Linked DNA regions of Sus scrofa. The protein of the gene in region 1 interacts with the protein of each later gene in a pairwise test. Links are inferred from orthologs where the notes say so. Each region holds a gene or a part of one and is shown in the gene's direction. Other genes may lie near its edges. The genes, in order: INSR and MAD2L1.

The links.
Region 2: the proteins of INSR (region 1) and MAD2L1 interact in binary tests that used the Homo sapiens proteins (3 or more experiments, as listed by UniProt). The link is inferred for Sus scrofa from reciprocal best matches to the Homo sapiens genes INSR and MAD2L1.

What each region holds. Positions count from the first base shown.
Region 1 is NC_010444.4:71,795,678-71,800,042, forward strand, and holds the start of INSR (insulin receptor), read left to right. Parts: upstream 1-1,531; 5' UTR 1,532-2,001; coding exon 2,002-2,101; intron 2,102-4,365. UniProt on the Homo sapiens protein: Receptor tyrosine kinase which mediates the pleiotropic actions of insulin.
Region 2 is NC_010450.4:103,925,797-103,930,390, forward strand, and holds the start of MAD2L1 (mitotic spindle assembly checkpoint protein MAD2A), read left to right. Parts: upstream 1-1,561; 5' UTR 1,562-1,773; coding exon 1,774-1,846; intron 1,847-2,599; coding exon 2,600-2,746; intron 2,747-4,594. UniProt on the Homo sapiens protein: Component of the spindle-assembly checkpoint that prevents the onset of anaphase until all chromosomes are properly aligned at the metaphase plate.

The sequences.
Region 1 (4,365 bases):
TTAGTTCATAGCCCTCTCCCCAACTAGACACTGAGGTCTACAAGGAAATGGATTGGATTTCTTTGACTTATTGTAAATCCTCACTCCTTATTGCATGTTGATTCTTCCCTTCAACAAATATTTATTAAGCAATGGATATGTCAGGCACCGAGTGTAAAACAGGGAACAAGACAGACGGGATTTCTGCCTTCATGGGGAGGGGCCAACACACACAAAAATAAGGCAGCATTTCAAGAAGACACACTGGTGTGATGTAAGCAACAGCGATGAGAAAAAAAGGGAGGAGGTATGGGGGGGCAGCATTTGCAAAGCATGGTCAAGGAAGGTTCACGGGAAAAAAAAAAAAAGAGGAAGGTTCATGGGAGCTGAGAGGTGGAGCCAGACCTTGGAGGTTCAAGCAGGGGGACCAGCCAGGGTAAAGGCCTGGAGGCAGGAGTAGGTGTGGGTTAGAAGGACAGTGCAAACTTCTATTTGTTTAATAGAGAAAGAATGAACACGCTCAACCAAGAGTGATGCTGGTGGCTTTCTCGTGCTTCCCCCCGCCCCAGCAACTCCCCACATCTGCCACGCAGGTATTATTACAGGCATCTTCCTGGTGAGGCCAATCCAGAGAGCAGTTACTCATTGGAGACCACACTGGAAGTGAAGGCAGAGGGAGCCTGATTCCCACTCCATTAGGAACGTCCCCTCTCCCCTCTCCAGCAAGGTGCTTTGATCACTATCATACCGAATTCGTGAATGACTTTTGCCAGACATTCAAAACACACGTGGACTCTAGGTCTGTGTACTGAAAATTGGGTGTGTCTACCTGTGCTTTAGCCAAGATCTCCAGCGCCTGCTTTGTATTTTGTCGAGGTTCTGGACATCGCCTCAAGGGTCAGTTCTCCAACTTGAATCACAGGCCGAGCCGGAGAGTGCCTGCCCACTGAGTACTTTGAGCTCCTGGGGCGAGCTTGCACGTGGCTGTCCCCAGGGGCCTGGTGTGGGGCAGGGGCGAGCTCCCCGTAGGACAGCTGGGGCGCCCGCGCGCGCTCTGGGACCAGCTTCCCCGAGCAGGACGGGAACGAGGGCGAGGCGAGCGTAACATTTAAAGGAGTACCCAAAAACCGTGGAGCCAAGATAAATAATATTTTAATGCATTTTTTTTAAACATCAAAACGAATCCTCCAAAGTCTACGGTGAACAAAATAGCAAAACGTTACTCGCGGGATAGGGCATCTGCAGCGCCCCCAGGCTCTGAGACGAGAGTCGCGGGGCTGTACGGGGCGCTCCGGCTGGGCAGGGACCTGGGGCGCCCCCTCGGCTAGGGCGCGCCGGGGGCCTCCAGCGCGGGGCCCTCCTGCGCGGGGCCCAGGATAGGGAGGCTGGCTGGCGGGCGGGCGGGCGGGGTGGTGCCTCCGCCCCCCGGCCCGTCCTCCCTCCACCCCTCTCGGGCCTCTCCCCGGCGCCGAGTCCCTTCCGAGTCCGGATCCGCGCCGTCTTTTGCGGCGGCCCGCACGGGGCCCAGCTGACGGGCCGCGTTGTTTACGGGCCGAGCAGCCCTCGCTCCCGCCGCCCGCCCGCCACCCGCCAGCCCAGGTGCCCGCCCGCCTGTCCGCACGTCCGTTTGTCTGCGCGTCCGTTTGTTGGCGCGTCCGAAGACCTCAGCCCCCGAGCGCTCGGGGCCGAGAGCCGGGAGGCAGGGGCGCAGCGCGGGGCTCCGAGCCCTGAGATCGCGGGACGGGGCCCGGCCGCGGTGGCCCGGAGTCGGGGCCGCCTCCACCGGGCCGCGCCACCGGATTTGTAGCGGCAGAGGCCGCGCTCCCCTCCTGGGGCTGTTTCGAGGGCCCTCCCGGGGCTGTTTGAGGGCCCTCCCGGGCGGAGTCTGTGGCCAGTGGTCCGCCGGCGTAGAAGAGAAGGACGTGCGGCCCCAAGTGCCTCTCGGGCGGCCGCTTTGGAGCATGCACCCCGCGGGCCAGCGCCGCGCGCTCTGATCCTCCCGGACCCCGCGCTCCCACAGCTATGGGCGCTGGGGGCAGGCGGGGGGCGGCGGCCCTGCCGCTGCTGGTGGCCGTTGCCGCGCTGCTGGTGAGCGCCGCGGGCCACCTGTACCCTGGAGAGGGTGAGTCTGGGGGTCTGGGAGTGGGCGGGAAGCAGCGCGTTGGGGAGGGGACCCTTTGCCAAAATGGAACCCCCGCTGTGGCCTGAGAACCCTCCTCTGTGGGAGGGCTGGTAGCCGGGACAGTCGCTCCAGCTCCGCGGCGGGGAGGGGGGGCTCGGGAAGCCGCTGACCTTGGCCTTTGCCCGCCCGGGCTCGCAGCTCCACGCCCCGCGTGCGGGCACCGGGCTGGAGGAACCTTGCCCCAGTGCCTGCCTCTCCGCGGGCCCCTCTGCGGAGCGCTCCTCGAACCCGTGCCTGGACCTCCAGGAGCCCAACTGGCTCCGGAGACGGCCACGCGTCCTCTCTGGGTCGCCTCCCAGAAGTGGAGGGTCACTGGATAGCCTCAGGCAGCCAAATGCCCGGGACGCACACGGTTTGGAGCCAGAGTGGAGAGTGACCGACTTGGGGTGGGGGGGCCCCTTGGGGGTCCCAGCTGGTAGGTGATGCGACCCAGGGCCGGTAATTGTAGCATCTACCCCTTTCTTCCTGGTGTCTGTAGACTCAGGGCTACTCCTGACTTCAGGTCCGTGTTTCCACTTTTGGGTTCTGTTTCCAGATGTCGGGAGGCAAACTCTAGCGCCTTGGCAACAGCACAGTTGCAGTGGCAGAATGGTGTTGCTTTTATGATTCTTCTGGTTAGTGTCACCAGATGCCTCTGGCTGGTGGGTATTACCTCCCTGGACCCCTGAAGCGAGCCCCTCGAGGCTGATACTGTTGTTAGTCCATTTCACAGAGGAATAAACTGAGGCTCAGGGAGGATACTAACTCCCTGGCCCCAAAGTCAGTGCCAGAGGGAGGACTTGAACCTCTCCAGTGACTCTGGCCCAAGGCTCTGTACTGCTGCCTATGCCCCATGTCTCTGATAACCTCCTTCTTCCAGCTCTGCCCTTTTACCTGTCAACCCCCTGGGGGTCTCTAAGCTGTGGTCAGCCAAGCCCCAGGAGCTTGGCTCCTGGGTGTCCTTGGATGGGCAGCCTGCCAAGACAAACCCCAGCATCTTTCTTGAGCTTGAAGGCAGGTCTGCGGGTCAAGGACAGGAGAAACGTGTAAGAGAATATAGCTGAGGTTTCATACCACGTATGGCTGAGGTCCTGCTTTCAAGCTCTTTGTTGGGTTACTTCTTCAGATTTCTCCATAAAAGGAAATCAGTCGTGATGAGGAAGGGGTCAGGGAGGGAAAGAGCAGAAGCTCCTGAGTTCCCTGACCATGGGTGAGGTGATGAGAAAGTACACGCAGGGTTGTGAGTTGACAAACCGGGTTTGCTGAGCACCTTGGCCAATTAGGCAATGTCTCCAGGCACTCGAGTGCGTGGTATACAGTGGGTGTTCTGTGAAGGGAGGGTGGCAGTTGGTTTGAGTTCTTGTTAAAAATAAGAAACTCAAGACCCGTTGTTAGACCTATGTCAGGTTTTGTGTATGTGTGGTTCCCTGCTCCTCTGTTCCTTGTAGCTTTGGTAATTCATTGTGGATTTGTGCCTAGGCTTTCAAGGGTTACTACATAGATTTACCACTTCTTACATGTTTACATTTTCCACAAGGGTAGAGGCTTATGTTTCTTTTGCTCACTGCTACCTTTCCATAGCCTAGGAGGTGTTTGATAAATATCTGTTCTTCTTTTTTTTTTGGCCACACCCTCAGCATATGGAAGTTGCCACTGCCAGGAATTGAATCCTAGCCGCAGCTTCGGCAACCCCAGATCCTTTAACCCACTTCGCTGGGCTGGGGATTGAACCCACACCTCTGCAGCCTCCTAAGCTGCTGCAATGCGATTGTTAACCCACTGCGCCACAGCAGGAATTCCTGTTCTTTTTAATATTTCCTTTTTTAATTTTTTTTTTTTTTTTTTTTTTTTTTTTTTTTTTGCCACAGTATCCAGTGGCTTGATGTGGGATCTTAGCTCAGGGATTGAACCTGGACCGCAACAGTGAAAGTGCCGAGTCCTACCCACTAGACCACCAGGGAACTCCCTTATAAATATTTGTCCTTCACTCCTATCCTTCCTGGTCTTGCCAGTAATCCAAGTCATCGCTCCTTAATGCTCTAGATAACACCTAACTCACAAGAAGAGGAGTAAACACTCTGCGGGTGCTATTCTGAGCACTTTACGTATGTAATCTAAGTCGTTTCCTCACCGCTGTGCTGTGGGATAAGGTTCATTGTCTCTTTCAAAGGTGAGGAGATGTGATGAGGTGGCAGAGCTGAGATTCAAACTGCAGCTCATCTAGC
Region 2 (4,594 bases), on another chromosome or scaffold:
AAAAAGAAGTCTTTCATGAAGTGTTAAGTTGTAAATTCCTTAGAAAGAGAGGCAATTTCTACATGGAGTAAGGTGGGCATCAAGCTCTATCAGCCAGAAGCCAAAATCCTGGTGGAAGGAATGAAAAGACGGTGATTTAAACACACACACACTTGTACCACAGAAACTAAAGGATGTAAGGAAAATGTTATTGGATCAAATCAACTTATTACATATTATACCTGTTTCAGTCTTTAAACTGATCAAGTTTTGATATATAACACTGAATAGGCAGAGTTCTAAGGGCGTCCTCAAAATTTGTGGCCTCCAGGGAGCCTATCCTATAGAATCCCTCCACTTTAGTGTGGCCAGAGTAGTGATTATTAGGAGTTATCACTTTGAGGATTAAGTTCATCAAAGAGGAAATTATCTGACTGGGTCTGACCTAATCACTTGAGCCTTTAAAAGGGACCTCCCAGAAGTCAGAGACTGGAAGCCTGAGATTTATGGAAGGGCTACCTGGCAAAAGCACAAGACTGGCCTCTGCCAACAGCTGGCAAGCCAGTGAGGACATCAGTCCAAGAACAAGGATATTAAGTCTACCAAGAACCAAGGGCCTCAGAAGAGGACCCCTGATTTTAGGTAAGATCCCACTTGCAGACAAATACCCTTATTTCAAACTTGTGAAGACTACAGTAGAGAACTCACCTATGCCACGCCATGCTCCTGACTGAAGGACTGATAATAAATGGGTGTTGTTTTAAGCCACTCATTTGTGGTAATTTATTATGCAGCAATAGAAAACTAATACACTCAGGCATTTTTTCATACAATTAAATAACATTATGTAAGGTGGTTAAGTTTTTCAGATTTCATTTTACATTTTTTCTACCCACTTTAAGAATAAACTTGTTTCAAAACAACTGACATGCACATTAGTTGCGCGCTATCTCTTTAGTACTTCTCATCCTAACAATAAAATTCAAAATTCACGGAAAAGTTCTTCAGTGTTGAAAGGCCTTTTTGGTGAAGTGACCTTACTCCTGACCAGTCGCCGAAGGATGGCGGGGTGCAGAGTGCAAGCTGGACCATCAGAGACAGCCTCAGGCTGCCCCCAGACTGAGCCTAGCAGAGGGTCGGGGTGAGGAGTAGACGTGAGCTTTGCCCAGAACAGACAAGGGAAAGAAGAATGGACGCAGTTCATCCCTTTAATCCCTAAACCAATTTCTCAGGAAAAGCCGCGCGCCCACAAGTAATCAGGGTCTCTAATAAAACTGTGGTGCGCACGCAGTAGCTTTAGAAACTCCCAAAGCATCTGAGGAGTTCCGCCCGCCCACTAAGAATCACTGGGGCTACTTAAGGTACAGCTAGCAGACAGATCGGAGCATTTTCAAAATATCTTTCAAACTCAGGAGTTGTGCTCCTTACCCCTTCTGCCTGAAGACTCAAGGCGCGGCCACTAAAACCGCGATATACCGTCTTTGCCGCAAGCCCCCAGCTAGCCAACCAACTACCGCAGGAGTTCCACAAGGAACCCACCGCGACGCAACGACTCAACAGCGTGAGCACGTCCACCCACTGCGCAGGCGCGAAGAGCGGCTACGCGAGGAAGGAGAAAACAAGCCAGACCCCGTGGTGTAAGGGCGGGGCCTAAAGGCTCGTTGCGCCTGCGCGAAAGAGTCGACGGCGTCCTGCGTCGTTACTTTTGAAACCGGTGGCGGGGAACTACTCTGGAAGTCACTGGTGTGGCTGGTTGCCGCGTGAAAGCGCGTCTCTTCATCCGTGGGCCTGGCCATGGCGCTGCAGCTCTCCCGGGAGCAAGGCATTACCCTGCGCGGGAGCGCCGAAATCGTGGCGGAGTTCTTCTGTAAGTCCTTCTCGCGCAGGCCGGAGAGCGGGGAGAACTGTGCCCAGGCCGCCAAGTAGGCCCGCGGCTCGGTACGGTGGCGGGGAGAACCCATTGGGTCAGAGCGGACGCGAATCCGAGCCCTCTCAGTCTCAGCGTACTGCCAGGCAGGAGGGATCTGGAAGAGGCGGATGCAGGCGCCTCTTCCGGATGCGTTGCTAATGGTGGAGGAGGCGGCCTAGGTTCTGCTGAGGCCTGCCTGGCGATATAACCGCTTAGCCGGGAGCAAACCCCATACCCACCCCGAGGTGAATCAGGATTGACGGTAATGGGCTAGACTTGGGGAGGCGTTCTTCTGGACCAGGCCAGTTGCACCTTCTGATAGAACCTGGCAGGACTTGTGAGAAGAAAAGGAGGAAAAAAAGGAGAGGATTGCCTGGGCGTTGGACGACTCAGTTGCTTCTTTTGACATCCTCTAACCATAAAGTCTGAATTTAGAATTGTTTTACAATGAAATGAAATTTGGCACTGGTAGATAAATGCAGTTTGCCATGTTTCTTTTATTGCCACTTAAATGCAGATACCACTTTTTTGTTTAGAAGCAAAATTTTAAAGCTTTTTAATTTCACTTTGTACCTTTGAGCAAAACACAAACGCGTGTTTAAACATTTACAGCTTTACACCATTAATGAAACCATAGCCACATGACTAAATATGTTTTATTTCTCAGAATTACAAAATGAAAATGACTTTTAACATTTCTTTTGTTTTCAGCGTTTGGCATCAACAGCATTTTATATCAGCGTGGCATATATCCATCTGAAACCTTTACTCGAGTACAGAAATACGGACTTACCTTGCTTGTAACTACTGATCCTGAGCTCATAAAATACCTAAATAATGTGGTGGAACAACTAAAAGGTATTTCATTGTTGGAAACAGTTTTGAGTTTTGCCAGCATTCTAGGATCCATTTTCTAGCAGCTTGCTGGTCATTTTTCATCTGTATACCTGGTGGTGTAAAACACACTACCATCTCAAATATAGTGAAATAACTGGGAGGAAGAAAATAAATCAAAAAGAAGTCCCATCTTTACCCCATTTTGAGTGGGCTGAATATTTTCATGTTAGGAACGCGATACGGCTTAATGAAACAATTCCCATCAACTCCTTTAGAAATGAGTGTTGCAGTTTATGTGACCAAATGGAACATGTTGGAATTTTACATAATTATATTGGTGTTCATTATCTGAGAAAAATCCACTATATATATATTTGTAGCTGCATGGAGTCTAAAGCCATCATTAAGATGAAGGAAGCAAAACTGAATTCAACCTGGGGACTAAACTTTAAAAAGAACAACTACCAAATAACAGAGCACCATTAGAATTTTCTTACTTTTCACCTGTTTCCATTGTCTTGTCTTAAATCCTACATGTGAGTCTGAATACTTATTTTTTCCTTTTAGCTCAAGAAGTGTCAGTATTGTTTAATTAATACTTGTTCTCCATCTATTCCTCTTCTTTCTTCTAAAATTTCTAGTTTCTCTTTCATGTTTGTCTCCACCTAGGGTTCTCATTTCTAATTTTTCTGTGTTGTAGGATATTTTTCCATATCCACACATTGATCTTCCAAAGTTCTAAAAAACACTACAGCCCTCATCTTTATTTATTTTTTTTTTAAGTTTTTACTGAGGTATAGTTGATTTACAATGTTGTAATAATTTCTGCTGTACAACACAGTGATTCAGTTATACATGTATACACATGCATTCTTCTTCAGATTTCTTTCCCATGTAGCCCATCACAGACTGTTTGGTGGAGTTCCCTGTACTATACAGCAGGTCCCTATTGGGCAAGCATTCCATATACCTCAGTGTGCATATGCCAATCCCAAATCAATCCCCCACCCCATCCCTCTTCCCCCACTTCTCCCCTTTGGTTACCATAAGTTTTTCAAAGTCTCTGTTCTGCAAATAACTTCATTTGTATTTTTTTTTTTTTTTTAAGATTCCACATTAAGTGCTATCATGTTTGTCTTTCACTAACTTCACTTAGTATGATAATCTCTAGGTCCATCCATGTTGCTGCAAATGGCATTATTTCATTCTTTTTTATGGCTGAGTAATATTCCATTGTATATATGTACCACATCTTCTTTATCCATTCCTCTGTCAGTGGACATTTATGTTGCTTCCATGTTTTTAATTTTAAATGAATCTTTTTTGTTTCAAGCAGCTTGATTTTTTTAACTCAATGAATTTTATTACATTTATAGTTGTACAACAATCATCACAACCCAATTTTACAGCATTTCCATCCCAAACCCCCAGCCCATCCCCCAACCCCCAACGTGTCTTCTTGGAAACCGTAAGTTTTTGAAAGTCTGAGTCAGTATCTCTTCCGCAAAGAAGTTCACTGTATCCTTTTTTTAGATTCCCCATATAAGTGATAGCATATGACATTGGTGTCTCACTGTCTTACAAACTTCACCTAGTATGATAGTTTCTAGGTCCATCCATGTTGCTGCAAATGCCATTATTTTTTTTTATGGCTGAGGAATATTCCAGTATATGTATGTACCATGTCTTCTTTATCCATTCCTCTGCCGGTAGACATTTAGGTGCTTCCATGTTGTTTTTAATTTTAAAATTAATAAATCTTTTTTTGTTTCAAGTAGTTTCAGGGCTAAATCTCCCATAATCATTCATAGGGCTGCAAATTATTTGGCATGGAACCTCTAGGCAACTATGAATCTATATCTTCACCTT